3 linked regions of the Lepisosteus oculatus genome follow. Each later gene encodes a partner of the first gene's protein in a complex. Links are inferred from orthologs where the notes say so. Each region holds a gene or a part of one and is shown in the gene's direction. Other genes may lie near its edges. The genes, in order: inhbab, acvr2aa and fsta.

Region 1 (10,885 bases):
ATAAATAAAACAGAAAGAAGAAAATAAACTGCTGAGTTTGCTGAAAAAAGCAAGCACCTAATAAAAACCAAATGCCAAAAGGAAATCTGTCTGTTTAAAGGACCTCATATTCAGAAAGGAATTGCAGAAATGGCTTTTCTTTTCAGCACTATATAATACTGTATAACTTTCAAAACTATATAACTAAGCCTACATGCCATACTGTACAGTATATCATAAAATAAAGAAAAAAGGAAGGTATATGCAACCAGGAAAAAGTACCAGTCCCTTCAGTTTTAATGGAAGCCAGACAGTGAGAGCGAGGCACAGATAGAAATTTAAAAAAAACATGAGAGAAATCACTTAAGAGAAATCTTAAAAAGTTTACATTAAAAAAGACACAGTGTCATTCTGCCTACTATCTTATTCAGAGGTAAATCTTTCACTTCCTCTTGGTGCTTTCTGCATCATTTACCCTGAGTCACATGAACCATGAGGACCTATTCTCTTCTCTATCGCGGTGCTTGAATCAGCAATGATCTCCATTTTGTCATCTGTCTTGTCTGGGTTGTAAAAATGCTCTGACATAATGCAGGGGAAAAACGTGCACGCATGTTTTTTAATGGGGCTGAGTCATACAGGGAGCATATTGTGTGCGTGTGAGTTGTGACTGGGCTTCCTTGAGGAACGCTAATTGCTTTCTTACAGACATCACTGCATTCACTTTACAGGACACAGCTGTAGAGAAAAGTCTTATTTTTCACATTTGATAAAATGTATACTATCTGAATTACCATTTCTGGACTTAGTGTGTTGTGTGTAGTATTTGGTCAGAATGCTATCGTACATTTATAAAGTTAACCATTTGTGCATTCAACAATTGATATATTCAAAATAAGAAAACATCCAGATATTTGCCAAAGTAAAATATCTTTTCAGATTCCACTTTTACTGTCACACCGGTGATGTGGATATATTTATTGAAAATTAATATCTAATAATATTGAATATTACATAATTTATTTCTATAATATTGTAGTACACATTATTCATCTGATTAAACCAACATAGACATTTGAAGATTGTGATATTCATATCCAATGGCTGTTTATTAAGGATTGTAAACTATTGGTTTATTTAGCAGCTCAGCTGTGAAATAATAATCGTTGTGTAATTGGTCTTGTTGAACTGCTGCATTGTACAAGGTTGGACTGTGAGAAATTACTGTTAGCTTTTTGGGGGTGTAATTTATATTGCACCTAACTTATTACTAACAAGTGCTTTGAGAAGTCACCTTTAAAGCTGCTATATAAAATAAAGTGTATTATCATTATTATTAGGCATATTGCTAAAATGTATTTCAATCATATGTTTCTCAAAAGCATATATGAAAACAACAAACAAAAATTATCATTACAGATATGGTACAGAAACCAAATTTTAAAACTTATTTGAAGAATATTGTTATGCAGACTGTTGAGCTCCTAAGTGCTGACAATTTAGTATGAAAGATTCTTTCAAGACCCCTCTTGTATAAAATAATGCCCAAGGCCTCTACAATCGTTTAGGAAACAAGTCATTTTTAATATTATTAATAGAACTTTGAAATCAGAGCATTAGGCTCTAAATCTCACAATATTAATCTCAATAAGAAAAATTGTTGTCGACTAAGAAATCACTTAAAGTCTTTCTGAGGATGACTTACTTTACTTACTGAAGTTCTACTGGTAAATCAGGTTTGTAGTGAGAATCTAGAGCTAATCAAGAGCATCACATTAAGTGGTCCCTTCAATACAATTTTAGTCTGATTGAAAACAGAAAAAGGCAGATGAACCCAGCACTTCAAGTGTATAAATTATCATTTGACCAGGTTTTTTCTCTGTGTAGGAAGTGGTGGAATCAATGGCTTTATTATGTCTGACATTAAAAAAATGAATGGTTTAATAAACTTTAAATGTTCTTAATGATTTAACAGTTAACGTGTGTGTTCTTTTGCTAGGTTCACAGTAGGTAAGAATTGTTCAACTGTGTTGGATGGATGGATAGATCTCGTACCTAACAATATATAGTGTATGTATGTCAACATTAAACTGTTGAGATTGTCATGTTTTTTCATTCAATTGTTCTAAAACACAAGAAACATTTAAGAATGGAAAAAAAATACCTGCAATACATGTTTCCTAAATTTGTGAAGATTGTTTCCTCTTTTGTAGCTTTTGTTAAAATACAGTACATTATTTTTGAATTATATCATACATACACTAAATATTGTTAGGTACGAGATCTATCCATCCATCCAACACAGTTGGCAACAAGAGCAAGACAGGATACACCCTGGACGAGACCACAGTCCATCACAGGACACACACAGGCACAGACCTGCACACACTCACACCTGGATCACTTTTTCAGGTGCCAGTATGTCTTTGTACTGTGGGAGGAAACCGGGAAACCTGGAGAAAAACCATATGTACACAGGGACAACATACAAACTCCACACAAACAGCACCCCAGGACTTTATCCCAGGGTCTCACCACTGCGAGGCTGGTTATCCAAAGCACCATTGTGCCGCACCTTAGATATAATATATATATATTAAATTGTATTTTAGGATAAATTCTCATAGCACACAAAATGCCACGAAGTGCAGACAAACTATATTTTTACTCATTCATGTTATTTGGTCTATAATTGTAAACCATCCCATTGACAAGTTCCTGTCTGAAGAATACTGCTACATTTGGCTTCACCATGTAAAGCTTCTGTGGCAGAGCTAATTCAGCACAGTTGTATAGAAATTTGGCAAACACGCAAGTTAACAGGGAAATCCAAGACTTTTACTCATTTAAAATTACTGAGTTTATTCTCAGAGATCCAATCAAAAGTAATGCATTACTCTGACCCATTGTTAAAAATGTTTTTCTTACTAATCAAACATTTCTGAGAGCAGCAGAATGAGATCATTTCATTAATTAGCAGTAAAAAGTGGCATGTACTGTATTTGTAGCTGCATTATGTCACATTCAGCTAGCTCAAAATAGCATCAAATAACATATCTGATACTATATCTTCTTAATAAAAAAGTATCAGTTATGAGATCAAAATGTTTTAATCATTTCACCACCCACCCTATCTAGCACAAACAGCAGGATAGCCACAGTGATGCTTCATGGTTAGAAAAAGTGAATCATTTAGCAAATGTTCCCCCTCCTAAAATTGTGAGGACTTAAGTTCTGAGCACGTCCTCCATTCCAGCACTACATCATTCTGTCCTGCCTCCAGGACAATTCAGCACTAACTATACTTTAGAGATAGTTTGCCCCCTAGTGGGAAAAAAAAAACATGGTTGTCCCTTCCAACTATTTTTAATCAACGAGCTTCCAAAAATATTAATTTGGTCAGGCAAAACTTTAGTAATGCCTTCTAGCTCAACTGTAAGTTTTTCATTAAAAAAAAACTTGTGAAATCTGATAATACAGCAATGCTAGAAACGAAATAGGGAAGTCATGGTGATGTTTGTAAGATAGTAGATGGAAAACAACATTATAGTGAAAATAATACTATATATGCATATCTACCATAATGAAATTTATCTGTGTTTGCTTTTGGCTGCAAGTTAGAAAATGGGTTTAGCTGGCACTATGAACCACAGAATTTTGTTCTAAGCACTCATAAGATAAGAGACAGGGGGGAAATCATTATAGACAGACAAATTTAGTTCATTCTACTGAAAAGGAAGGCCAGTGTTCAGAAATTGCTCTGAAGATATGAGAGAAATAGATCTAGTTACTACCAGTCATGGGGGAATCCTCATGTAGTTCTGCAAGACTGTTGCAGGTATTATCCTAATAAGATAAGGCTGAAATGTAGATATTTTGAGAGGAGATGAATAAATCAGGCCAAACAATCTGAGAAGTGTGTGTGGGGAGGTAAAATTTGGTATGATAAATACAGGATGTAAAAATGACTAAAATAAAGCCTTTAAACAAATTTCACATGACAGTTCAGATTAGACAGAACCACCTCTCGCCTTTCCAAAAAGTAATCTTGCATTACATTGTTCATGTGTTAATGTTATATAATTGTCTACATTTGATCATTCACATCTTCTTCAAAAATGTTATTTTGTCAACTTTTTCCTCCAAGAGAAGAATAATGTTTTAGTCCAATGCAGAACTTTTTTTTTTTCTTGAGATGTGGGATGTAAGCAGTCCTACCAATATTTGCCCTTAAAGGTCTCCACCTCTATATGACTGAGCTGCAACTGTATTATTCCTCCTCATTTTTTTCCCCTTTAGGCCAACATTAATAACAGAGCTCACACCCATGCCAACGAGGAGTCACACTGCATCTGCAGGCCTACTCTGAGTCCCAGGATGATGAGAGTGATGGGATCACCACTCACATCCCTCCAGATCGAAAGCAGGCCAACACTAGTAATATTAAGCCATCTGTCTGTGCTAATCAGCTACAACAGCTGCAATACTGAGGGCTGACAAGAAAATGGGGAATATGCAGGAAAAAATAACATAATATTAATAACATCCCACTTCTTCAAAATATTGTTTGACCTTAAGAGGTCTGATCACAAGCATTCCAAGGAAGTATACCCAACTCCAGGCCAGCATCACTCAAGATGAATTTAATATGTACTGAGAGCATGAAGATGGCGCAAGTTCTGAAATTAATTACCTACCCTGCGGAGCATGAAGTTGAGAGGTAACAGAAATAAGAGAACAGGAGTTGTGAAGAGCACAGTAATAGTTGTTAGGTTGCTAGGTTACTGAAATTTGGGTGAAAGAAACATTTTTTGCCAGCAGAGGCTGCTGCTGAGTTAATTGACCTCACTAGTTCATATGGACATAACCAAAATACCTGAATAAGTCAATGTAAGCTGTGCAGTTGCTAAGTCTTTACAAAAAAGGAAAGAAAGAGCCCAGAATGCATGTCCTTTGAGATTTCTTCAAAGAAATCAAGAGCACGTTTGTTCATGTCTGTTAAGTAAACTAAAAAATTAAAAGGAAACAAAGAACAATGACTATTCTCTTGCTTAAAATTTTCTAGAAAGTGTCAAAATGACTTCTAAAGTACAGTATAAGAGAGCTGAAGAAGGCACACACTGCAAAGTCATTGGAGCCGGACCACAGGAAAACCCTGGCCAACCTCAAACCCCTGGCAGTACTTTGTCAAATGTGACGTTTCCTCTGGGAAACCCTGACCAGGGATATATGTAGCTCATGACATTGCCTAGATTTGAACCAGTGATCTCTGAACTGCAGTACAGGGTCCAACTTGTGCTCCAACAGGAGGCCATAGCCAAACCATTCAGGAACCTAGCTTATGGTTTTGAGAAATTTCCTTGTCAGACTTTTTCTGAATGATTGTTAAAAATGAGTTGTGGTTATACAAAGCACTTAGTCACAAAATGACATTTTTTCAAAAGCAAGTACATCAGGAAACGAGGAAACCTTTACTTTCCAATGTGCTCCTTTCTGACTAATTGTTTAGTGTGTGTATAGTTGAGCTTTAAACTCAAAAACATTTTGTTTAGAAGAACAATAATAATCTAGACAAAAATCAAGGTGCTGTCTTCAAAGAGGTTATTTATGATACAGAGGAAGTGAGTTACAAAGTGATAGGTATTTCATGTATAACTATGTCCACTGGCCCAGCGCAGCAAGAAAGGCTAATTTACAGATTTTATTCAGCATTAATAAAACCTTACCAGATGTTCACAAATGTTTGCAGTGAAATGCTTCTAAGATAATACACATAGTTTCCTTAATATTAAATCATCAAAAATGCAAAAAAGAATCGATTATGAATGATAACATTGATTGCACCTGTACAATTAGACCCAGTTGGACAGTATCAAGCCTTTTCACACGTTAATGATATATTTTTGTAGTTAAATAAATGAGAAGCTTGAGAGAAGCAGAAAACCAGAACAAGATAAGAACATGAAAAGGAGGTGAAGTTTATGTATAATATGCAGGGTGACAAGCAATAAAAAAAAGAAAAAGTTGGTATAACATGACTCAGAAGTATAGTGATAGAAAAACTGGGAGGGAGCGAGGTATAATTAGAGGGAGAGAGAGTGAGAGAGTGAGTGAGCTAACCCTGCCCACTTATACAAAACCATTCAGCTCATACACAGCGAACTCACTGAGACCTATCGGGTGCTCTGCACATCCCTCCAGCACTACACATCTACACTGCCACAGAACTTCAGCTGATAAACTTAGAAAAACTTTTTTTGACTAACTGATCAAGACTTCGGTAGCTACCAGACTCAAACTTTCCAGATCTGCAAAGTGTTTGCTCTTGCTTCTTTATTTTAAAAAAAGGGATTATACTTTATTTTTGCTTAGTTTCTACTTTGTTTTTTTTTTCAGTTTTAGTGTAAAAAGGGGGAAAACTTACAACTCAGATTGACTCTTTCAGGATGTCTTTTTCTCTGCTGAGTGGAATGTTGTTGCTCTTCTCTGGGATTTTGGCAGGGAGCTCTCCCACCCCTGGCTCCCCTGATGGACACACGCCGGTCACCGACTGTCCCTCTTGTGCCCTCTCCAAGCTGCAGAAAGATGTGCCTGCCAGCTCCCAAGCAGATATGGTCGAGGCCGTCAAGAAGCACATCTTGAGCATGCTGCATCTGAAGGAAAGACCCAACATCACCCACCCCGTGCCCAGGGCAGCCCTGCTGAATGCCATCAAAAAACTACACGTGGGAAAAGTTGGCGAGGATGGCAACGTGGAGATTGAGGATGAGGCTCACAGCCGGGCAGAGATGAGCGAGCTGGCGGAGCAAACTTCGGAAATCATCACTTTTGCTGAGGCAGGTGAGTAGCCCATGTCTGAACTGAGGGGGGGAGATTTAATGGCAAGGTGTGGAAGAGGGCAGGTCTTCAACCCAGTTAGACAGGTTTGTAAACATAATTCTCTTGGAAGCAGCTGAGGCTGAGGAACAAGCCTAATGCACTAGAATTTAAGATTTTAAGACCTGTTATCTAAAACTGTACTCAGGCACCCCTCTTAAAGGTATTTTGTTGCATCCTACTGATTGAAGGCTAGATACCCAATTACCTACTAAAACTACGTTCACAACTTCAGCACGTAGAAGATGTGAATATTTGTGATTCCTGACTCTTCAGAGCTGTCTATTTGTCACCTTTTGTACTGCAGGGAGACAATTTCATAGAGTGCACTCCAGCATTCTCAATAACTGAAGAAAATCCTCCTGACTGCTGCTTCTTACAAAGTGTGCCTGTTAGCACAGTTCAGGAGTCAGAGACCCCTACTGTTTCACAGTAAATCTAACGTCTAAATGTTTTTTTACAGAAAATGCACAGTCCAGATAGCAATTGGACTCAGCATTGAACAACAGACCCTGTTGTCCTGAAACATGCCACTTTTTTAATGTGGGAAAAGTAACATTGCAAAAAGTCAATTCCTCATTATATTGGCATAAAAAAGTACACATACATTCACACAATCAACTAAATGAAATGAAAGAATGAAAAATTTGAATGAATATTCTGTGCTATGACAAAAAGAGCAAAAGAGGGTTCTGACTAGTAGGTGGGAGACCCAAGTTCAAAGCAAGCCAAAACTCACTGAGCCTGACAGTCTTTGAAAATCAACAGCTTAATCTGAAGTGATTAGATAAACTTGCTTGTAGAGAGTATGTAAAACTCCTTAAATTAACAGGATTAATTTGGCAGCAGGAAGCCCTGAAATGAGCTGTAATGAGAAAAGTCTGCTCCACAAAACTGTATGGCAAAGAGCTTCTATTCATTGTATTCATTGGCAGTGAATGACACCTGTACTTTGCTCAAGAGCTCTACAGATCAAAAAGTGGACTGTACAGATTAACAAAATAAAAGAACACGAGAGTTCACTGAAGTGGCAATGTTCTGGCAAGGCGTGCACTGAGACCAATTGTTTGACTTTAATGAAAGATTTTTACTACACCAGTATAATGATGTCAAGTTGTTCAGAGGATGTTAGGAGTACTGGAGAATCTGCATTTATGAAACTTAATGACTGAGAGCCACTGTATTCAGCATGTTCATGTCTAACTGACTTTCAACCTTTTCTAATTATTTTCAAAGAGGAATTTTTGCAGTTAAAAATATGGTAGTTATTTAGTATACTACAAACTATGTTTTTCATTGTTAAACAGTAAGTATACAGTAAATAGTCCTAAAACTTTTGTTTCTAACTCATTTAGATAAAACTTCAAACTGCGCAAAAAAGCATGAGATACAAATTGGATACCTGGATTTACACAGTAGTGCCAGAAGCAGATATTTAAAATTAAAATGATTGCATTTGTCACTTGTAAAACAATTTTGAATGAGTATCTTTTAATTTCTGGCATGTCCCAGTATTCTGCCAAAGGGATTTGTGCTACAGTAGTTATCGATTATCTAATTCAGAAAGCTAAGTTTTTTACCTTTTTTTTCTGGGCGAAAAAAGGTTGACATTGCCTACTTTCTGAGGTTCCAAACCTATATTGTATTGCAAATCAGCATGCTACCTCACTTGATGACTGGCCTACGTGACCTCACCGTTGACCTTATTAATGACAGAACAATCTCACCCAAGTCCTGCTGCTAAACTTTCTTTGAGGCACAAACAAAGTCGGTTGACTTTTAGTCCAATAATGAGCAAGCACTAGTACTTCAGGTACCGAAATCTCTCATATCAAGTCTAGTAAATGCAGTGGAGCTTTAATCTATCATGATGCATGCTTTCGACTTCCTAAACATCAAACGGTCCATAGACGAAATGCCGCAAATTCTGTTGTACGCAGCAGTAACACACGTGTGTAAAGTGGTCATAGGACAAATCCAGGTTTATATTGCCATCAAACACGTAAAACCTGCAACACTTTACTTCAAGTGCTTTGAAGGGCTGAAGGAAGACGGTTGTCAGATACAGTATACGCAAATCTTCCTTTCCATAGCCTTAAAGAAACATGAGCATCAGAAACATTTTCTTTTGGAGATAAGTAGACCTAAGACGTACAGTGTTTTGGACTCGTTAGTAACCCATACTTGATATTCGTAAAATATTGCAAAAAAAAACCCCAAATTGTATTTGATTAATTCGGCGAATTGCATTTTGTTGACTTTAACTATTACATTTATGCTCATCCCGCTTTATTGTGAAAATAAAATAACGTCAGGCTTGCTACAGTATGCTCATCAATTTGAACAGCTCTTACGTTTAAATGTCATTACTGACATGAAACAGATTTTATTTTAGATTTCACGGAACACTCGTCAAATTACATTCCAACCTCACTGCTCCCAATGGATTAAGCAGAAATGCCAAAGCTTCATTAGTGTTACTTTTTTATCTTAAAGGTAAAACAATTTAACGTGCGTCCTTTCAAGACACGTGACCCATACGTTAATATTACCTTTAAAGAAATCCTTACGGGAAAGATGCGGCTCGCTTGCACAGCAACTCTGTGCGTCCATGTTTTCAAATAAATCGTGGACATACCGAGAACTCTTATTCCTTATGATCTATACAAAGTAAGCCTGACGTAAATCCTCTGATACATCGATAAGAAAAAGATAAAGAGTCTTACCCGATTTAAATGCAGATAAGAAGACCCTCCTTTCACAACCTTTATCCACTATTCATTTTTTTCTCACCAAAGAAATGCTTGCCGTCAATTTTTATCATTTTTACATGCGATTCCGCACGAAAACCACAAGAGGGAACCGCTGACAGACGGCTGTACTTGTCTGTATACCTCTAATAAAATAAAAATAACCAAAACAATAAAAAAAAAATCTAGGCTTAAACGTCCAAACAGGGATTTCCTCGTGACTAGTACATCAGTATTCTGATACCAGTTTTAATTTCCATATTCTTTTTGAAAAAAAGTATCTTCATGCATGCCATGGAAAAAAATGCTATTAACACATACTGTACAGTATATACAGTACAGTGTATACTTGTTTGACATTTCATATCGTCCTCCTTTTAAACTAATTGATTTTGCTTATTTTTGCAAACATTCAATTATATGGCAATCTTCAACTGAATTGTTAACCATTTTATTTTAACTAATCCCCAGATTCTGTTTTATAGTACAAAAATAGCCTTTCAGCTTTATGACTATTAAAGAGAGGAAAGAGGAGACGATTTTGTTAATGACAAGGAGCACCTCAGAAAAATCAAAGGCGTTATAATAGAAAACACTAGTGGAGGTATTAACTAAATTGTTGCTGCTTCATAATACCCACTGTGTCTAAGATAAGTAAGCACAGTGGTGAACATCTCTATACACCACTCATACTGTATGTTTTTGTCATCAGGAATTGCATTGCTCATATTTCCATAAGAATGATGCTCATAATAGCTCTTCACTATTAATAGCTCATGAGAGCCGTTACATTAAAACTTCAGTGCACACTTTTGTCCTATGAGGTTTCGTAATCAAAGAATGGAGATATTAACAATGCAACACAGAGCACAGAAGCAGACTAGAAGCAGGCTGCGCAATTCTTCAAACAATGCTGTGCTTAATTGCTTCATTCAGAGAAATGCAGGCCCTGATACTTGGTTAAGCCTGCCTATCATGCTGATGAGCAGTGTGACCGACTTTGAAAGAGTTTCAGGCAGAGAACACACTGAACTTGATGGTATGGAGAGTTCACCAATTACACTACAGTTTATTTCCCTGAATGAAATAATTAAACTGAACATCATTAGAGGAATTCCACTATAGGCGTCCTGTGACTCTTATTCAAAGGTGTACACAGTAGTTTGTTTCAAGAGTTAAATGTCCCTGGGGAATTCTGTCATTGAGTAACAGAGGGTCTCAAAATATTTTCCTGAGACAGGTGATATTACAGATCATAATCAAAAAGCAGTCATTTTATA
Region 2 (10,611 bases), on another chromosome or scaffold:
ATGCGGCGTTTCATCCAGTGAGGGTATTATTTAAAATGCAAATGCAACCTTTGTGGGCAAGAATTAGGAACTCGTGGGAAAGGTTGAGTCTACAGTTGTTGCTCATTCGTGGCCGTGAAAGCACGGAGTTCACAACACCAGACCCCCAAACTGAACGGAATCATTGTGTAGCATGGTCTCGATGAATGGGCTATCAATATTCGCGTTACACAATTTATTTGCATTTTACTTTAAAATGAGTTAATCATACAAAAATATCACACTGTACTTTTCTCCTTCCTTGATCTGAATAATGTTTTTAAAAGCTACGTGCCTGTTGACATTTCTGTGGGTAAAATGAGGTTGCTGGAGCCCTAGAAGACCACAGTGAGAGATTACCGCTGACAGATCAGCATTCCAAACGTTTTAATGCTGACAAAACCCCAGCTTCAAGCACAGGGAACAGTGTGCAGTTCTTTATCAAATGCCACACGTACGTAAGAGGGGAAAACAGCAATTCTGATTATTCGGTAGGGTCATTAATCACTCACACCCTCAACCAAAGCAAAGTTTGAAAAATGTGAAAATGTTTCACCTCACTCACCTTGTCAGCTTTATCACTCAATGGAACTTGTTCTATCTCAGATTGCTATAGTCCTTAAAAAGTGATAATGAGAAATAAGAATTGACACTAAGGAATGAGGAAATGACACGAGCTTGTGTTTCAATGCATTTCGGATAATCACAGCATTCTAGAGAGCCCGTGTCTTGTCAGATTTTAAAAAAATAATTGTATTTTTAGCAAAATGCTTACAACCATTGAGCTACAGTAACCTACTGTAACTTCAGCACAAGTTTATCTCAGATTCTTTAACTGAATGTGATCTGTTAAAACTTTGCGATTTACAATGAAAATTGGACATTACAAAGCAGTGAAATGCAACTCAGATATAATCACCACGGAGCACAAAGAGGGTGCCTTCGAATGATGAGATATTCCAAAGGCGTCTGGAATTTAAACCAAACATGCTCAGTAAATAAACGATAGTGTCCGAACTTCGGAGTGTGACAGACGTATCGCTTGCTCAGAGAGGGCACTTTCACGTTAAAAAAGAACGTGGAGTTCAACAGCCACGACAAAAGCTCCATAAATTCTAAGTTTTAATTCTTAATGTTTATGTTTTCATTAGTATTGATTAACTGCAAAGAGCCTGGACTGTAGAGGAAAGGGTGGTTCGGTATAAGGCAACGTACGTAGCTGGATAAGGAATTCTTCGCATTTATAAACAGCTTCTTAGCTACAAGGGGATGACTGAAGGCCTCATAATTTCGACTTCGACTACACGATTAACCTTATCTTTTGGTGTAAACCCGCTTTTAAGATTTTCCTAAAAAACAAAATCAGCGTTGGGTGGATATTTTTATACATTAAGAACCTCGCCGTCTTAAATGGGGGGGGGGGGGGGGGGGGGGGGGTGATCCTATTACAATCACTAAGCACAGGAACGTATAGATTTTGTAACCCAGGATTTACAGTAAGTGCGTGGGGGAGGGGCGGCGGCGTGAAGACTCTATTCCGCGAGGAAAGCTTAAAATAAAGCGCGCTGCAAGTTAATGCGCCGGTTTCAAGGTCAACAGCACCGGCTCAGAAGTGCGGCGGTGTGGGTGTGGGATTAACACGCTGTTTATATAACGTGCAGCGGCAGTAAAGGGGGGGTCCACTGTGTGATGCAGGTTGGCCACTGGCAGCTCCACTCTGAAATCACGTTTCTCTTGCTCAAAACGAAACCATCCCAGGCCGTCCGAGCTCGCTCTTTTTAAAGGGGGAGCTCGAAGGTTTTGTAAAGTGGTACAAATACGGTATATAACTTATAAAACAGGGCACGTCGTACTTTAACGGCAACCCTTTAGGGAACGCAGTGTGTTGGTAGTGTAGCTCCGACACATGCATATTGTACGCAATGGCATAAATGTAAATCAAATATTACAGAATTAAAAGCTTTGTAATTTTATATTAGATATTATGTTATGCACACATTTAAATCAATATGTAAATACCCTAAAACATAAAACAGCACTTGTGGTAAATTGGTTAAGTTTAGATCTATTTATTTGTATGATTTATATATCTTTACTGTGCAAATATTACTTGATACAATTAAATTTAGAACTTATAGAAAAAAGCACAACTCATTCTCGTGAACATCTTAAATAATCGGCTAAAATCATTTTGCATGTTTTTCAAGGGTAACGTAAACACAGGACAGGAAATGTTTTATCGGGAATGTTGGACTTTTTGATCTGTATTTACTGCTTTTATATTTATTATCGCTGATCTGTTTTTATTCTGGGGAAACATTTGCGGATTTTTTTCCACATGAAAGCTGCTACATCACATGAAGATGGTTGTTGTCGTTGCTGTTAATGTCAGACCACATGTGGTCTACCATTTAAAAAGTCGTTTTCGTGCAGAAAATGTATGCTCTTTCCGCAAATTCAACATCACCACAGTAACTCTTTTCATAATCGTGATTTGTATCCACCTATTGTATTTCACGCGTAAGTGCGTCGTCCTATTTATGACGGAGCATCTGAGACAGGCGACAGGAGCCCCGGACATCTCTCTTCGATTCTCTCTCAAAATGCTGCTCCTAAAGGAAGGGAAGTGCACAGCAGCTGAAGGTTTATTCAGGACATTTTGTGCTTCGTTTTTATTTTATTACTGGTAAAATACTCTCTTCCGCGCAACCTCTGTAGAAATTTCATAAAGCGTTGATCTCCTTTTTAGACCCGGCGAGTCTTAAGACCACCCTTTTCAGATCTAAAGAAGATCTAACAGGTTTTGGCTACAAGCCAGATCGTCAGCAACAAGAGGCTGTGATATAAAACGTGTTGTAGCACGCCACGGCAGTTAAATGACCGGTCCCTCGACATTAAAACCTTCAAAGCTTCTTTGTAACCGTTTATGGAGTATATAAAAGTCACTTATATCAGATGATATGCTATTCCCAAAGAGAAAATAAAGACAGGCCCGTTGCATATCTACATAGTTAAATGCTTGAAATACGCTGAAAAAGTCAACTAAAAAATGCACTTTGAAGTATCAGAGATACAGTACTTAAACACTTTGTCTCAAGTACTTTCTTCCTTTGTTTTCTGACCCAATCCCAAAAAGATTGTCTTCAATGTAAAGATCTTTCAAGAGGTAATTTTATCATTTGAACAATATAACTTTCTCTCTGTCTCAAACATATTAGGATATATGCCGATAAAGGAATTTGTGCAAAGAAGACAAAAGTATAGAATTTAATATAGCAGAATAAACTACAACATGGTTTTATGAAGGTAAATAGGAATTATTATAGTAAAAAATCAAAATTCTGCTGATTTAATATTAATCAGGTACTATGCAAGGATATCCACGATTCAGAAAATGATTGCAGACGACTCAACAAAATGGTTGTACGGACGTTGATCCATACAAGTTATCATCTATTTGGAGAAAAAATACCATTAAGCGATCAAGAAATGTGTCACAACTTCCAAGTGTAAACAACCTTAGTTTTTACACTTGCATTAACCTAGATGACTGACCATTTTGAGTCAATATATCACTCAAATTGGTCTGCTCTTTGCTTGAAACCATTATCTTTGGTGCTTCCCATTGACATTTGCTTATTTGAATAAATCAATTTAATTGAAACCTACAGAGACCTATTCTCCTTAAAGAGAAATGTATCATATAAATTGGATGTAACTGCAAGTAACAGATTGTCATCTATAGGTACTTTAAACTTGTAGAGTTTTTTAGAGTAGAGTTTTTCTTGTAGAGTAGAAGAACTTGTACATAATATTCTCCATTTCTTTCATACATAAAGTGTACACAAAATACATGACCTTTCGTGCTTTATTTAAAGGAAAAGGAATTTGCACTAAATAAGATTAAATAAATAAGACTGACCTTTACCAGTTGAACATGCAGTATGATTTCTAGTAATAATTTCTCCTCAGGAGTGGAGACCCAGTGGCAGAATATCACAGCTCAGCGCTGGGGACCTGTGACAGAGAGGACTCTACACTGACAACACACTGGAGAAGACTGTAACAGCAGCTATCATCAAAGAGGAGCGTTGAGACACTGACATTGTACAATTTCAAGTGCTATAAAATATAATGGATTGTATTATAGAATAAGTGAAACGATACAGTACTGTACATGTCAGTAGTCCTATACTGTACACTCACAACACAATAAAACACTCAGTTCATTTAGTATGTTACTGTACACTGTATATGTGGAAGACCCTTCTGAAATCTGGCTTTGTGGCAGATCCCACTGTCCTTTAATGAAGTCCTGCTAAGGCATGTATCCATGTTTGAGCTGGATAATAGTTCTGTTCGTAAGTCTCAGCATGAAACCAACAAGACCCACTGCACTGAAACACTTCCTCTGAGCAGCGTGTTCAGGTGTGCCAGAGGCAGCACATCTTAAGAAAAGATAATAAACTTTTCCAGGACTGAATCAGAGTGGCCCATTGTAGGATGACAGAAATGAAGTGCCACCTAACCTCTGAACAGAACATTTCTTTTGAAATCTGAACTGTTTGCCTCCATCTTGATTCCTATATAACAAACCCCTTGTGGAGTAATGTGATCATTGAGGGACCAGTTTCTAATAAACAACTGTGGTCATCGGATTGGATGTTGCAGGGCTCTTGAGTTACACCTACTGTATGTTGTTTGGAATGTCTTCCAAAACAAAAGACAGCAAGATAAGTCACTGTAGCAGACGCTTTGGGAGACAGAGAGCTGGTTTATTCATTTCTCTCTCCGCCTTGTTAAAATGTATTTTTGAAAATACTTTTGAAACATTGTGCGAAACGTGAACATGCCGGTATAAATACACTTCAAAGTGTCTTTCACTGCGGACCAAAGCATGAGATGTGGTAAGAGTATTTCGGGGTAGATTTTGATATGAAACATAATTGTTGTTCTGGCTCTACTGTACAGGGATTTGTGACTTTGATAAGACATCTCAGAAAAAAACGGACTCTCCAAAAGGCGCAAAGTCCATGTCATCTCTGGTTATTAATATCAAAATATCGACCAGTATAAAATACCGAAACCGAACACGTGTATGAACAACACAGAAACCTGCGAAGACTGCTTATTCTGTAACTGGCGGGGGGGGGGGCACGTTTGCAGGTGTGAAACCATTCCGCAGTCCCAGGGCGGATTAGATTTGGAGGACACGGCGTTAAAAAAATGCCCAAGCGCTGGTTTGCAAAAAAGATTCATCGCCCCGTGTGCTGCACACGCCCACGCCTGTGCCAGGGCGACGCATGCATCCCGTGTAAGTCCTGTGCACTACAGGCAGCAGCGCTGGCTCCACGGCTCGGCCCGTTAATGCCCCTCTGCCGGCCATAGGAAGCGGCGCCCATCAATCACGCCTTCGCGGCGCGCTGCAGAGAGCCTGGGACTTCCAGCGCCCCGACCTGCTCCACACAAGGCGGGTGTCCTGCGTGGGATTGGGCGAGGGAGCGGAGCGGCTGGCGGCTGGCGTGGCTCCCCCTCCCTTTCGATTTGACGTGCTGTGATGTCAGTCAAGGGTATTCGCCGTGCGGGGAGACGGCTCGCCGTCGGAGGGGCCGGGTAGAGATGGAGGAGGAGGAGGAGAGAGGAGAGAGGGGAGGAAAAAAAAAAACAAAAACAATTCGTGCCGGCCGCCATCTTGAATCGGGTCTGTTTTCGCTGAATGAGAGAGGCTGCGAGGAAGGCAGGCGAGAGAAGCGAGCCAGCGCCGTCAAGGAGTCTCTCTGACAGCTTGGCCGCGGAGGCGAGGGGTCGCCTGGCCAGGTGACTGCACGGGTTTTCCTCCGGCGTCGTGGTGGATTTTGCGAGTCTCTGGTGGAGCACTGAAGTTATTTTGAAGTGCTAGGTTCGGACTTGACACCTCAGATCGGGTACCTACCCACCACAGCAGACAGGCAGGCAGGCAGGCAGGCGAGAGGCAGCAACAGGACTGTGCTGTTTTCCACCACCCCCTCCCATAACAAACCACCAAGAAAACGGGAATCTCGCCTTTTCGTCCTCGGTGCAATTATGAAGAAGCCTGCGCTTGTGACAAGTCGTTGCCACGCATTTTTACACTCGGCGTTTGGAAACGTGGACTTGAGATCCAAATAGCAAGGATTTTTTTTTTCTGTTCGGGGAGGATCACTCGTGTCGGGGGGGATAAAGTGGCTCGTTTTAGGGGGACGTTATCGTCGCTGGGAGAATTTTAACCAGTATTAGTACATGTGCATCCACCCTCCCAGCGGCTGAATACAATGTCCATGTGTCGTGATTGAATGCGTTATGAACTCCGCTGATATTATGCAAATCCCTATATGTCACAGAATTCGGACAGATGACTGCTGCCTTGTGCGTTCGCTACTGTAGTATTCCTGGAGAAAACTGAAAAACACTACAAGAAAAAAATTTTTAAAACCTTTCTATTGCACATTCTCCAGCTTTCACTGGGGGATTCGGTGCATGGTCCGTAAGGAAAGGTATTTTGTTGCAAGCAGCAAGCGACGATGTTTTTCTTTTTGATCTGAAGATTTTTAATTCAAAACAACAACTACTACTACTAGCATCTGGACTGATCGGTGCCCAGGCGCCTTCGGCTTTGCGGGCATCTGCGAACTGAACACGTGGCGTCTCCGAAATAAGATCATTTTGAAAGAAAAAAAATGTCAAAAAACATGTTGATGCTCTCAGCCAGTCAAGTGACACATGTCTCTTGAGTTTCAGGACTGTACACGCAAAATTCAGGAGCGGGGCCTGCCCTGGGACTTTGCCAGCGGCAGTTTGTCACAGTAAAATTTTTAAGAAATTTCTAATTCCTTGATTTAAGGCTTGGCTTTCATTAAAAATATATATACGAAACATAAACGCGCACATCTATGACTCAATAAAAGAAGACATTTTACGAGTGGGTGCTCATCCTGGGAATTTCGTCGTTTTTAAGGATTTTATTGCAATACCGGATTGGTTCGCGGACTGAAAATGGGAGCAGCGACGAAACTAGCCTTCGCCGTTTTCCTCATCTCCTGTTCCTCAGGTGGGTAGGGGGGTTTCGCTTGCGCCTTGGCCGCGTTTTGGAGAGGGCGACGGAGGAACGGCCGGGCGAGAGGAGGTGTGCGTCTGCCCCTTGGCTGTTACTACAGTATCTCCCTCCAGCCCAGCTTCGCGATTGAAATTGTCGGCCGCTCGGAAACACGGCAGCTCTCACTGAGGCTCTGGTTGTTTTTTTGTTACTCCCTTTGTAGCGTCGCAGAGAGGTAACCTTGAATGTAAACATGTTACAGTATCAATGCCGAGCAGATCGGAGCACAGTGGCCAATGAAATCGGTGTTTTGAGACTTTATGTGCGGAGATGAAGTTCGCTGTATGTTTCGCCAGGTACCTGTAAACGGGTTGAGTATTGTCTGGCTTAGAATAACCCGGCAATGGAGCATGAAAATCAATGGCAGTTCGTGATTTCGGAGCGGCACAGTGAAGTGTAAACTGTAAACAGAGATACACGGGATGGACGTGCCAATCAATCAATTCATCGCTTACACACAGGAGACGGGCTGCTTCTTCGTGAATAGTTATTCAGCTGGGGGAAATATCATCCAATTGACATTGTTTAGATGCTTAAGCGGGCCGCAAGCTAAAAACGAAATAGTCGAATTGCGAATTTTGTGTCGTGTGAAGGTCTGCGGGTATCAAAGATTATCGCGCACAAATTGAGCTTCTCAGGCAAAACGCTGGGGTTTGAGACGTTACTTCATATCAGTCCACAAATCTGAAATTCTAGTTCTGTACTAAATCTGATTATCTGATTGAGGGGCTTTGTTACAAATTATAACTCAAGGGAAAATGATACGCTTGTGTTCAATACAATTAGATAAAGATAAATTACACGTTGCGCTGCTTAAATTAATTTGGTGATTCGGGCTATGCTGTTATCCAGCAAATACACGCATTGAATGTTTTGAGTTTTCTGTCGAGAGAAGCACACGGTGTTTCGGAATTTCCTGAATGGCTGCGCTGGTTATATTAAATCACCAGATCGAGGTGCAGTAACGCGGAGCTGTGATGGAGATCTGGGTTTTTTTTTGAATGAGCAAAAAAATGTAAACTGGTGAGAGGTTCCACGTACATTAAGCTGACGAAAACTGTAAATATAACACGGTTTGAAATCATATCATTAAAATGTATCTAGTGTGACTTGTGTTTTTACGTCGACGTGTGAGCTATTTAATGTCAATATTTTTAATTACATTTCGTGCTCACAATGAAAATGAGGCGCCTGGCCTAGACCAGGGTATTTAATTCCCTGCTGTTGTCTACGTCGCAAATCCCTGTGATGCAGAATAGCTTAACGATATTAAAAAAGGAGGTTCATTCATATTAAAAATCTGTTCAAATGCTGTGGTGTCTGTCTTGGAAGAAATTCGTCGTGTCTGGCGGTACAAGACGATCTTCGTCACGCAGGGAAGGCATTTTGGAGAAGGTCGTGGTTTAGCGGTTTTCGGGCCGCAGTTGCCCCGGTGTGGCCTGGTGCGAAGGTGCTGGCGGAATGGTTCTTGGGATTTGCACCAGTGGAGTCGGCCAGGCAGTGGCGAAAGGCACGGGTACCCGAGGCGAGACAGGGCAAGATTAGACTCAGCGCTGCTCTGTGATGGCCGTTTCATGAAAACTTCACGAAACGCGCTGAAGTTTCGGATGGAGGTGTAGCAATTGCTAAAGAAGTCTCCCATTATGTCTCGACGCCTGTAACAAAAAGCACCTTGTCTTTTTTTCTTTCTATACCCCGCACATGTGTAGCCTCCGTTTTTGGAGGTTGTTCCACGTCTTATCTTCAGGCGCCCTGCGTCTTTGCAAATTCCAAAACCGTGTTGACGGGCGAGCCCGCCGTCTCCCGAGCTGGTGGGTGACGCGCCGTGGGCCTGCCGGTTTATCTGCCCCGCTGTAAGATGAGATGGCCGTGGCACTGGAACCCAGGGCGACAGGAGGTTGCGTTGCAAAGATGGGAGCTGGGTTTGTGCCCGGGGCGGAGTGAGCAGCACTTTCACTGCCGAGCGCACAGCTGTTCATCTGTGAGCTTGCCTGCCTCCACACTGCGGCTTTGCCCGCGAAAGAGGTTGGCCGTTTTACTGGCGAGCTCACCTGCGGGAAATTCACTGTCGCGAACAACGGCAAAGACTGATGTTGCATTTTGTCCAGAATAAACTTTTGACGGCTTTGATTGTTTGTTGCTTTATGCGTTGTTAATGTGTGTGTGTGTATATATACACACCTGTATCGTCTTCGCGGCGTTGTAGTAGTGGGACTTCTATCGTTTCAGAAGCTACAGGTAAGTGTGTCTCGGTCGCCAAGGGGAGGCTGGTCATGCAAGGAAAGCATTTCTTATCGCGCGGTTGTGTCAAACATCAAACCTGGAGTTTTAGCGTGAGGAATTCACTTTAGCGTGAGTGTTGTTTGTATTATGTTTATAAAGGCCTGCATCCAAGTGGTTTAAACATTCCTTTATGTTACCATCACCGCTGTCTTGAATTACTTTCACTGCACTGGAAATCTCCCTTAGCTTACTCGTGCTTGAACTTCGCATATAGGGTGCCTCTCCGAAGACCAGCTGTAGGAATATTTCTTGGAGGTAAGGCAGCCATGAAACCTTCTCGGCCTCAGCTCCCGTCCTTCCTTGTCAAAGCGTGGGTTCAGTTGGTTAGGTGCTGTTGGCAATAGGAAATCGCAGGCAGAGCCGGAAAAAAAAACAAACCACAACAGTTCAGGCTTTGTCTTGCAGCCCTGCGGCTCCTGTTAAACGGTGCAGGGAGCTCTCCGGAGAGTTCGTCTTTTTGCCAGCAGTGGCAGCAGGTAATTACAGTGTCACACTATCACCTGTTAGCCACCTGGCACGTTTTGGGAGTGTCGAGCGACAGCAGCGCTTTTGGGTGAGTGTGACTAATGAGCTTTCTGACGCGACCGTGCTCGCTGGCTCTCGGTTACCTTCCGTCCTCGGCCACACCGTCTTTTCGTCTTTTGTTCGCGGTCTAACTTCGGCGAAAATCCCTATTTCAGGAGGCTGGGTGGAGGCCGAGATACCTGTAAATCGCACTTGGCTGCAGTCATTTTTAGACAATGTTGCTGTGGAAAGAAATACTCCCGTATTAGCCTTTGCTGGCGCAGACGGACTGACAGCTGGGTGCTGTGCTCCGACTCGTCTCGGGAACCTGTTTGGGCCGCCCCGCTTTTGACTTTTCTTGTACGACTTTATCCCATTTTCATTTGTTATATACTGTTGTACGGTTTTCAAAAAACAGAATCTTCCAAAACTAAGTCACAAGGTTGTTAAAAAGTCGGGAAAGTGAAAGCTAGGCAATGTGCCGTAAACAGGATTTTCACCGGTATTTAAATGTAGGTTATGCGTGTTGTCAACTAAGGATTTTTAAGTGTCCTAATCTGTCTTTTAGAGCTGGGTTTGCCTCCATTTTGGCTGTTTTTCTTCCTGCTCTTGGGTTTTTCCCAGTAACCCTAGGAGGGCTCTTACACCTGTGTCATAACACTACTACAAAAAAATCAGCCTCTTGATTTATTTGC
Region 3 (10,983 bases), on another chromosome or scaffold:
TAGGTAGGCTAGCCTGTTGCTTATAATATGATTACTGGACTAATGTAATTAGTGTGCTTTCCTTAGACTGACATTTTACACGGCATACAATGAAACAGTTCCAGTGCTTATACAGTAATATTAATGGTAATGCTTACTTTTGGTTTTTATTTCTGAAATGTTGAGTAATAACATTCTGGGACAATTATCTAGGAATAACAAACATGTTGTCAAACAGTGTTAAATGAGCACGTAAATAAAAACAGATCAATGTTTTGTTGCCAGACACCTTTGAGCATATTATGCATTTGGCTTGGCAAATAGCACAAGGACATGTGATAAAACCCACAAAAATAGCTCTCCCAAATATGAGTCCACAAAAAAAACAAGAAAAACAAGAAATTCAAAAGAAAAGCAATTGAGGTCTTTTCTGCTAGCAGTTTTCTTTCAGGCTTACTGTTCAACAACCATTAAAAGATACTGTTGGAATCTTTAAATCACACATCTAGGTGAAAGCAGAAATAAATTGCTTTTTTATTTCCTCACAGCAGCTCTTTGAGGTGCTGCTAAGATGGGGTCAACATAGACTGTATAGGCTTTAAGCTTATTTTCCTTTGACTGATGGTGTCAATTTCACTAAGGTTATACTGCAATATTATATTTTAGGAGTGAGATAGTGCCATTATTTCTCTTTACTGTTACTCACTGAGAATGAGCAAGTAATACACTAAGTAGAAACTGAATGTAATTATTTTGAACAGTTTATTTTGGCTATTTAATTGATAAGTCATTACTGTACAGCATGTCCAAATATGAAAATTGGGCAGAATACTCAAGAAATATGCATTGAATGTCTAACATTTACAGTAGCTTGGTTTGCATCACCCATTGAGTACAGTATAGGATTCAACCCCACATTTTTGGGACTGTTATAAGGATAACTATGATAACGTGAGTAAATGATTCTGCAACTCTATAATGGTCTTTTCAGTTTAAAACCATAAAAAAACTCTTGTTGCTCATTTTCTTTTGGAAAATTTCAGCAATGGTAATTAATTTCCTATTTCAAGAGCTCAATGGGAAAACAATATACAGAAATCAAAGTTGCTATTAATTTGTAAAGAAGAAGTAAGTAAAACAATCTTACACTAAATGTCTTAATATCATTTTCTACATGATCTCACTCTCATATTTTTATTTTCTTTCTGTTGCCAACCATTACAATACAGGAATATAATGAAGCGGCTAAATTATGCAATTGTATTTGCCAAGTGCAACCACTTAGTTAAAAACATCATACTGAACTGCCTGTAGCAGGTTTAGCATATACCCCACAGTATACAGTATATCATCTACATTCAAAAGCATTTATCAAGGTAAATGTATTCATAGACTTGATTTAATTGTATACTTTAGGCACTTTATGCAATAAGAACTATATGTCTCTACACATTTGCAGCAAAGTGGCCATCCATCTCTTGCTTGTGCCCTTGATTATGCTGATGTCATGTATTCAATTGTATCTCAAACTTGTCTTCAGACAAATGGACATTAATTTATAATCCAGTGTGTTGATTTGTTCCATAATGCAATTATAAGATACACATGTAAGGTATTCCAGTACTTTTCCTTTATTTTGTGTATACCATCTCATATGTTTGTCCACCTTTCTTTAATAGACACAGTTCACATTCTCCACACTGTTTACATTCGTTTACAACAATAATTAAAAAGTCACATTAGCTACATTTTCAGGAATTCTAAAACATTTCAGCATGTAACTATTCATGTTTTTGGAATGAAAAATAAGCAAGGCAGTCTCATTTTTATGATGGATACAATACATTGCATTTTGAGTTTTTCCATTAATGTATGGTTATGTCCAAAAAGAAAAGGAAAAATAGATATTTAAATGAGTTATATTTTAATATTTTAACATAATTAGCAACCTCTGATTTTTTTAAACAAAAGACTGATTTTCTGAAAATTGTTAAATTTGACAGTTTGGAATTCTTAGTTAATTATGTATTGACTAAGAACATATTCCATGTAACTATTTCTAAAGATTACTCTATTACTAGAAAAACAGCATGTATGACATACTGTATACCAAATTGGTTTATGCATCTGCATTGTTTCTGGGAAATGGTTTCTCTTCATCTTGAATGCAAGCAATAACTGAACCTCAGTGCCTCCTCTCAAGCAATAGAGGATACCCCTGGACACCCTCGTCAAATCTATTTTTAATACTTTTGTGGGTACATTTTCTGGATTGAATGGTGAATAAAAGTTAACTTCATCATAGAGGTATTTAAAGCAATCTTTGGCTGAAAATTATTTTTAACATCAGAAAATTTAAAAGAAATGCACATGCTAAATCATTGACAGATATAGAATATTTGCTATTGTTTGTTAAGTAATGAATTGTTATTTCAAATGCACATTATGAACACCCAAGAATGGTCACCACATCTTAAGGCAAGAATGACCTGAATTTATAACACTGCAGTATTGGTTTGGTCATTTTCATGTCACAGTATTCTGTAACAGGACCTCTGATCATACCAGTATGACTGTTTTCATTAGATGCTCCTCTTGCTATTGGAATGTGCATCCATTTACTGTACATACAGTACTTGTAAAGGCTGGAGTGGATGAGCACCTGGTGTAAACCTGATCTCCACATATGGTGTGATTACATTGGTAAAAAAAAAAGCACAGAGGAAAATTTTACTGTTCCATAAAACATGCTGGTGACTTCGCAGGCTATCAGATGTGTTCTGACTGCGATTTTTGTTTGTTTTAATGTGGCAGCGATATGCTCTTCCTTGATCAGTGTCTTGCTCGTTCATATTTCAACGCGAGTATATAGTTTACACATGCAGTATAACTTGCCTGTAATATGTATTTCTACATAAAGTGTTGTTTTTTTTCCGTTTAGGGCGAGCTAAACTTAAAAACCAACTTCTCATGACTTCTCAGCTGACAAGCGCGCATTTTAGATTTTTGATCATTACAGTACTACCGGCTATATATATTTTTTCAAATAATTAAGTAAAAATATAGTGTTAACTCAAGAATAATTACTGAACACACCCAAATTTATTTTCTAACTGGAGATGCACAATTACGTGTTTTAATCGACAGTTTATCAGCGAAGGTCTTAAGAAAAACACGTTGTGTTAGAAAAACATTTATTGTGTTATTTAGTTTTGTCGTAGAAGTTAAAACTGTTTGTTCCTTTTAAACAAATTATATTGTTTTCAACGGGATTTTTGCGCATATCACATTAAAAAAATATATTATCGATGTTATAAGCCAAAAGGTTTAGATACATTAAAACACTGCTTTACATAAAAACATTCTAACGGCTTTACAGGGGAAACACCATTAAAGCATTGTCTAAAGAAAAAGATGTACAGTAGGTCTGAAATCTGGAAATTCATTAATACAACTTGACATGATCTGAAAATAAAACCAAAATCCATCAGTCCATAAGCTTCTTTTAAGCACATTAGTGCTTTGAAATGACAATTGCAGTTTCCTTGTTTACCATTTTCCATCAACAAACTGAGGATTTTTAGCATTTCATTCCAGTGGGGAACCCCATGAGCATTCAAATAAAAGTTAATATCACGGCACCAAATTATTTCTGGTTCTTGTTTTCGTATTAATTCACTGTCACATAAACAAATTCATTTAAAGCGTTAGGCCTTACTGGAAAGGAGATTTTTAATTATGTTTCCACAATTTCCGTACCTTTTAAACACACATATATATACATTTGTTCCCCTTAAACTACAATTTGCCTAAAACAATAATTTGAACAAACAAATAATAGGTTTATTCCATGGTGAAAAGAGAAGAAAACACAACGTTTCGGCCGTGAAGCCTTCTTCAGGTGTCAACGTCAAACGTTGTATTTGCTTTTTTCTCTTCTCAGCATGTCATAAACCTTTACTTGTTCCTTTGCAGCCTACGCTTGCTGACGCAGCTACCCACCTGAATTGAACAAACATATCACACTTGGAATTATATCAATTCCTCTAGTAAATAATCATTGTCTGAATCAAATTAGACTACCGACAGCTAGCATCTCTTGGGTTCTGTTCATATCATTTAATCTTTACTGTGCAAACCTCTGAAAATTATTTAATGTTACGTACCACTAGGTGTTATATAAATTATTCTAAATTCTACATATCATGATAGTCTAGACCTAGATGTGACCTAAAATAAGTTGTTTTCTCGGATCAACCCTTCACTGGCGAGCATAAATTACGTGTGTGGGGGGATCCATAACACAACTATGAGCAAAGAAAGAGTAGCATATTTCTTTTACTCGTTAAAGATGTAGTACACATTGTCTGCCGGTAGAAGGAACCCGACCCGTTTTAATCGAAAGCTGACTTACAGCAATTGGAAATACCGCACACAGAAAGAGCAGCGAGTCACTGTGTGCGTGTTGCTGAAGAGGTCGCACGTGGACTTAAATCGGAACATAACAGAGGGTGCATTTGCTTAGAAACAACTATTGCTTAATGTATATTCGCTATGTAATACAATACTCCGCTTGCTCTCAAACCTATTTGGAAACGGGGATGGATAAACTTGAGAGCCTGGGTCTGAGAAACCCAAACAACTGTCTCTTCTAATATTAGCATGCCTGTATTCTGTGATCTATTATTGTCGGTCCAGGCAGATCTTATTGTAATACAGCACTTTTATTAAAAGATTAGCACTATCTTCTGCAGTTGGTGGAAAGAATATCTGTTATCACCGAGATATTTGCAGCTGGGGGAAAGTGGGTAGACCCAAAAAATCGATTGGCATTCTTCGTGCGGGGATTTATTCAAAAGGCATGGAGTTCAGGAGGTGCATAATCTTGAAAAAAGTACTGGAGTAAATAGCGTCTACGTTAGGCAATTTTTGCAGAAATGTCGCCCACTCATTTTCATAGCACAGTGCCAAGTATGTTGTAAAGAATGAGCACTCGCCTACATAGAGTAAACAAAAGCCAGACGGCTGTTAATAAACCTGCATTATAATGAAACGAAGTAATGTCTTTCGATGTTGCAATCGTAAAACCAAGGCGAAACTGCTTACAGTGATATAATATTCAGTAGTTATATTGTAATGATTTTTAGATGGCTGGGTGTTATAGAAATCTGGTCATTTTGAAGAATTTCTTTTTCAGAGTTGGGATTCATTTGTTGTTGTTGTTGTTGTTGTATAGTTCTCTTAATGTAAAGTATTCATATAAAACTATTTTTAAAACTTGTTTTAAGTTAATACCATAAACCTTCAATTTTAAAAAGAGATTTATTTCCTAATATTATTGAACATAAGAAAAAAAATCATTTTCTAATGTAAAACATGTGTAGGTGTTTTAATTGACCTTAGTTTTAATGTCAGTTATTAGGCTATATCATGATAAATATAGCCTTGCAATATCTTCCACTTTCATTATGGGACGGGCTTGGTATTCTTTCACATTGTATCAAACGCAGACGCGTACATACAGTACACAACATCCCAGACCATGCCCACTGTGCATAGTTTCCTGTACTATTGTTTTGAGAGAAAGTTTCGACTGGAGATGTCACCTGATTTGGATCGAAAGAACTTTTTTTTAATCTTACTCCCCACCCCCACCGATTAGAAGACCGCCCACCACAGACAGTCGGCCCGAGACCCCTTATAGATTTAAAAAGAGAGGCTGCATTCACAGACTGACATTCATTCAACTCAGCGATCGTAAGCAGATTACTTTTCCGCTGCCTGTTTCTTCACTCCGGTTCACTTTGCCTTCATCATGCTAAGGATGCTAAAGAGATATCAGCTCCACCCGGGCATGATTTTATTATTTATATGGCTAAGTCATTTAATTGAAGATCACAAAGTGCAAGGTAAGTGCGAGTATACAGTTATTTTTAGTAGTACATTTTAGTTGGATGCCATTTAATATTTTGAAAGACATTTGTATGGTATAAAAAATAAAGTGTCAGGTTTAAAACTTTTTCAAGACCTAACGGGTATACGCAAGATCACTTTGTATTTACTTTTAACTTTGTTCTGAACATGCAACTCAGCTTTATCTTAATGCATTAAGCGCTAACAAAACAGGTGCATTTCTATTCGTTTTTAAAATATGTATTGAATATTTGGATATTCAAGCTTTTTACCTGCATATTATATTTCACTTGACTAACTAGCCAAGCATCGGTTTATGGTAGGGTATACTTGTGCTGGACTATAAATGAAGCACTTTAATATGTATAACAGCGATAACTGTGTTTTTAGGCTTCAGATTTCCTGAAGGAAACTTAAACTGGAAAGAATAATACAATTAATACCAGAGACATAACACGTGATTTTAAGTCTTCTGCTCTCCCTGACAGTCAATTTATCTAGCAGCTCTAAATATAAGCTTCAGTTTTCAACTTTTTTATTACCCCACTTTTCAGGCAGTTGTATTAATAGACTTTACATGAAGTCTGTTGAGTCTCGTTTTGTTGGAAGACAGGAATAGTAAATAGCCTACAGATCTCACGACCCATTGAAGCTGGATGAATTAATTGCCATTGAACCAACAGAAAAGTCACATTGCTTATTTATTGGTAGTGAAGTCCCATTCCTTTCATACAAGAGCTAGCAGTGTAACCGCGATCCAAGTAGGTCAACTCGTCTCATGAAACACAGCAAAATAAATATAAACCTTGCGTGACTCGGAAAGTGTACTGCAATGACATGTCCGCCGCGTTGCACCGACTGTATGGTAATGCTGTGACTAGCAGTTAATCTTCCCAAGTGTTGAAGTAAATCCGACACTGCTGCTTTCTTCAGTGTGCTCTCACACAGAGTGCACGGACAAGGGGGATGAAGCGCAAGTGTACAGTACGCTACACATGTTTTGAAAAGCAAGTTTTCAGCTGTTAACATTTCATGCAGTGTTCTTTGTTTTAAACTGTAATTAACACCATCCATGTGATTGCAGTGGTATCTCGACATTTTAGCATTATTAACAAAACCCGTGTGATAGTAGTTGTATCTTGGTGATTTTAGTTTCTTCAATACGATTAATCATAATTTGATTTTAGGCTGGCTTTACACTATTGTACTGTGCTTTAGCATATTATTCATGCGGTACCTTGTCCCCCGTACTGTGACTCGTACTGTCCATTTGAAATCTGGTTTAAAACAGACGCGGTAGTATTGTATTGCTTTTTCCGATTTGTGTAGACGGTTGTCGTAAGGTAGGTAATCGTATTGGGATCTGACTTTGCAATTGTTAAATGTCTCGTCACGTTACAGAATCAGACAAAATACCGAGGATAAACAGACCACCATAAGCCAATATACAGTAAGCTGCACGTGTTATGTCTGGGTCATTGGCTTCCGACTTTAAGTTCTTTTTCTTTGCAGCTGGTAACTGCTGGCTACAGCAGGGAAAAAACGGAAGATGCCAGGTTCTCTACATGTCTGGGATGAGCAGAGAAGAGTGTTGCAGAAGTGGCAGACTGGGAACTTCGTGGACCGAGGAAGATGTACCAAATAGCACGCTTTTTAGGTGGATGATCTTCAACGGAGGAGCCCCAAATTGTGTACCTTGTAAAGGTACATGAAATTAAGCCCAATATATTACTATCGATGTACAGTGTATAGCAGTCTTATTAAAAAACGATTAAGTGCCAGATCAATAAATTTTATGAAGATAGCAAAGCTAGTTTGTGTATTTGTGAATAAATAATTTCATTTGGAAATAATTAATAAAAACGTGAATTCCAAGGTCATTACCCTTTTTCAATAGCTGCATGTCATTTATTGTGTTTTATTTGTGTAGAATCTTGTGACAATGTGGACTGTGGCCCTGGAAAAAGATGTAAAATGAACAAGAGAAACAAACCCCGCTGTGTCTGTGCTCCCGACTGTTCCAATGTTACTTGGAAAGGACCTGTCTGCGGGTCCGATGGAAAGACCTACAGAGATGAATGCGCCTTGCTGAAGGCAAGATGTAAAGGTCATCCAGACCTGGAAGTTCAATACCAGGGCAAATGCAAAAGTAAGTTCCTTAGTGTCTCTTGTCTTCCCCACTAAAAGATGCTGTGAATGCTAAGAAGGAGAAAGACTGTGGAAATGCACTGTTTGCAGTTGTGTGGAAATACACTAATGGTGCATAGGTCATGCCTAATAATATAATGGTGATGTTGACGATATTCAATGATATTAAACAACATATTAATAAAGAAGTCCCTTCTTTAAAAAAAAAACAACATGATCTACTTATAATTTGACTTTCTTATAGAGACATGCCGTGATGTTCTGTGTCCGGGCAGTTCAACGTGCGTCGTTGACCAGACCAATAATGCCTACTGTGTGACATGTAATCGGATTTGCCCCGAAGTTACATCTCCAGAGCAGTATCTGTGTGGAAATGATGGAATCATTTATGCAAGCGCTTGCCACCTGAGAAGGGCTACTTGCCTGCTGGGCAGATCAATTGGTGTTGCATATGAAGGAAAATGCATAAGTAAGTTATTGTCAGGTCCCATGTTACAATACCGAACTCTTCAGATCACTGTTTTGACACCTTTAAGTTTGTCTTTCTGCATTTCAGAAAAAAAGCCTCTTTTTAATCCTAATGAACATGAAAGTGCATTCCATTTTGATAGAAAATGTCTAGTTATAGACATAAGTAATATTTAAAAAAAGTTTCATGTCCTCAATTCACCCCCCAATTTAGTCTGCCACAGTTTCTCATTTTCAAACTGTTTTTTGTTATACATACCTGGGGTCATATGATGTTAAAACTTTAAAATGTTTTCCAGACCTTGTTGGCTTTGCTGTTATTAGTTGATTTCCATGTGTTCTGTCCAGATGCCAACACCCGTCTTACTACCACAACATGTAAGGGAGTAATTATGAATGGGAGACCTGGAGCCTCGTTATGCTATCATATTACATTGGTCTACATGCTTGTTATTTTGGGGAAAATATATACATGTACAGTATGTTTGTATATATGTATGTGATGGCACATCCTGATTCTATGTGATCTTAGGACGACAGTACATGTATGCCAAGCTCTTTTTATAAAACATACCCTCATGGCATACTTACTGAATCCCTTTATCTCTGTCATAAAATTAAGCCAAATCCTCATTGCTTTTAATTATATGTGGTGTTTATGAACATAAAGGGCAGTTTGCTAAGGGACTCTGTGGTGTTCCCTGGTTTTGTAGAAGCGAAATCCTGTGATGATATCCAGTGCAGCGCTGGGAAGACGTGTCTATGGGATGCAAGAATGGGCAGGGGACGCTGCTCACTGTGTGATGAAGTGTGTCCTGAGAGCAGATCAGATGAGGCAGTGTGTGCCAGCGATAACACCACGTACCCCAGCGAGTGTGCCATGAAGAAGGCCGCTTGCTCTGTGGGCGTTCTTCTGGAAGTTAAACATTCTGGATCTTGCAACTGTAAGTAAACCATAAAGTGAAAGACACTTCGATATTCTGTCAGCCACCCCTTGCAGACTAAGGAAAAGAAAAGACTGGAAATGGGAGTTGTTGCATGTCTTCTTGCACTGGCTTTATTAATTTTGCATTTTCTGCAAAAAACCGAAGTAGACATGAAGACTCATCTTTGGGAGCTATTGGGCTCCTAATTCCCTTCACATAACTAACAAGATTATATTTGAAGACTAATGTTTGCAGTTAGTGCACTCTTGCTAAGAAATTGTAGAAGAGTACATGGTAATTCTAGTAGCCTGTCCTTCAGCAGGTTGCCTTAAGACGATATACTTGCTGTCATGCTGTCAATGTAGGAAGACACATAAGTTGGCCATATCTTTACATCTTGTAAATGACACGGTCATAATGGTAATCATATGTTAACCATGTATTTATTTCCTTGCTTATGGCTGTAATCAATCATTTTAAAATCCACTGACATTGATTTCTACTATGACATACACAATTAAGCCTTTATATAGAAGCATACATTCATAATTGTACATAAGGTGATTGTAACATTGGTACCATTGCAGTTTTAAATACTAAGGGGCAATGTTAACATGATAACTAAATCAAGTAATATTTCTCAGCACAATGCAGTACATGACCTTTTTCATGTGCTGAATTACTAGTGTTACTATTAGGTACTGCAGAGGAGTGGAAGAAAATAACAACATTCCAAACAGCCAATCAGATAATGTCTTGCAAAATTGTTTTATTGTCAAATTGATATTTGTTCTTTGCCATGTCATTGTAGACTGAATGCTTTCATTTAAGAATATAATGAAAACAATGCATTTAATTTATCATCCCTTCTGTTAAACAAATAAAACAAAGGGACCAACTTTATAATCACCTAATAAATTCATTTCTATATATATATATGGCATTTTACAGTTTGCAGGATAACAGTGGAAGCTTTCAGAACTATGCTCTCTTATTTCTACTTTGCTTATTGAAATTAACATTTTAGCTGTTTTGTTTTATTTTGTTTTTGCTGTACATAGTAGATTTGCTGTCATTCTTTAAGCATCAGACTGTCCATGTGGATTTTGAGGGATTGCCTATTTGTATTATTGGTCTGCCTGTATCATTTTGCCATGTACCATGTTCTGTAGAAATACCTCACATGTGCTATCCCTGTCCTAATAGCAAAGGTCGGGATGTGGTGCAGGGTTTTGCCCAGCCCAGTAGCATTGTTGTATAATCACATTTGAAACGAAGGATACCTTAAAAAAAGAACAAAATGTAGAACACAAGAGCACTTTTTCTCTGCTTTCAGGAATCTGCTAAAAAGGCCTGAGCCATTGAGCCTTCACATCTCCCCTGTCTTGCTGCAGTTATGACTTCCTAGATTATGTCAATCATGTTGCATAAAAGCAGATGCCACAAAGCATCACTGACTGCCAAATCATATAAAAACACAAAGCTTTGCTGTGGCTTTCAGAGGTCTTTGAAAACATGCACTGAGCTTCTGCGCTGTTGTGATCCTAAT

The links.
Region 2: the proteins of inhbab (region 1) and acvr2aa are in contact, whole or in part, in a crystal structure (PDB 7U5P), measured with the Homo sapiens proteins. The link is inferred for Lepisosteus oculatus from reciprocal best matches to the Homo sapiens genes INHBA and ACVR2A. Residues at the interface, in NP_002183.1 of Homo sapiens: Ile340, Ala341, Pro342, His346, Arg397, Pro398, Met399, Ser400, Met401, Leu402, Tyr404, Asn409, Ile410, Ile411, Lys412, Asp414, Glu421; in NP_001265508.1 of Homo sapiens: Asn36, Asp53, Lys56, Phe61, Thr63, Lys65, Val74, Lys75, Cys78, Trp79, Leu80, Asp81, Asp82, Ile83, Asn84, Val100, Phe102.
Region 3: the proteins of inhbab (region 1) and fsta are in contact, whole or in part, in a crystal structure (PDB 2P6A), measured with the Homo sapiens proteins. The link is inferred for Lepisosteus oculatus from reciprocal best matches to the Homo sapiens genes INHBA and FST. Residues at the interface, in NP_002183.1 of Homo sapiens: Asp315, Phe327, Asp337, Trp338, Ile340, Ala341, Gly344, Tyr345, His346, Gly360, Thr361, Gly363, Phe368, Thr371, Arg397, Ser400, Leu402, Tyr404, Asp405, Asp406, Gly407, Gln408, Asn409, Ile410, Ile411, Lys412; in NP_037541.1 of Homo sapiens: Trp33, Arg35, Val44, Leu45, Arg60, Phe76, Met79, Asp135, Glu152, Pro154, Glu155, Val180, Val181, Asp182, Gln183, Tyr188, Val190, Arg221, Thr224, Cys225, Arg229, Ser230, Ile231, Gly232, Leu233, Glu328.

Annotation. Positions count from the first base shown.
Region 1 is NC_090701.1:16,469,778-16,480,662, forward strand, and holds the start of inhbab (inhibin subunit beta Ab), read left to right. Parts: upstream 1-6,425; coding exon 6,426-6,819; intron 6,820-9,581; exon of another isoform or gene 9,582-9,803; intron 9,804-10,885. UniProt on the Homo sapiens protein: Inhibins/activins are involved in regulating a number of diverse functions such as hypothalamic and pituitary hormone secretion, gonadal hormone secretion, germ cell development and maturation, erythroid differentiation, insulin secretion, nerve cell survival, embryonic axial development or bone growth, depending on their subunit composition.
Region 2 is NC_090707.1:2,722,043-2,732,653, forward strand, and holds the start of acvr2aa (activin receptor type-2A), read left to right. Parts: upstream 1-5,439; 5' UTR 5,440-7,029; coding exon 7,030-7,084; intron 7,085-10,611. UniProt on the Homo sapiens protein: On ligand binding, forms a receptor complex consisting of two type II and two type I transmembrane serine/threonine kinases.
Region 3 is NC_090698.1:38,662,764-38,673,746, reverse strand, and holds the start of fsta (follistatin-A), read left to right. Parts: upstream 1-5,638; 5' UTR 5,639-5,794; coding exon 5,795-5,888; intron 5,889-7,404; coding exon 7,405-7,596; intron 7,597-7,822; coding exon 7,823-8,041; intron 8,042-8,284; coding exon 8,285-8,509; intron 8,510-9,221; coding exon 9,222-9,452; coding exon of another isoform or gene 9,453-9,460; intron 9,461-10,770; coding exon of another isoform or gene 10,771-10,772; exon of another isoform or gene 10,773-10,983. UniProt on the Homo sapiens protein: Multifunctional regulatory protein whose primary function is to antagonize members of the transforming growth factor beta (TGF-beta) superfamily including activin, myostatin, GDF11 or bone morphogenetic proteins (BMPs).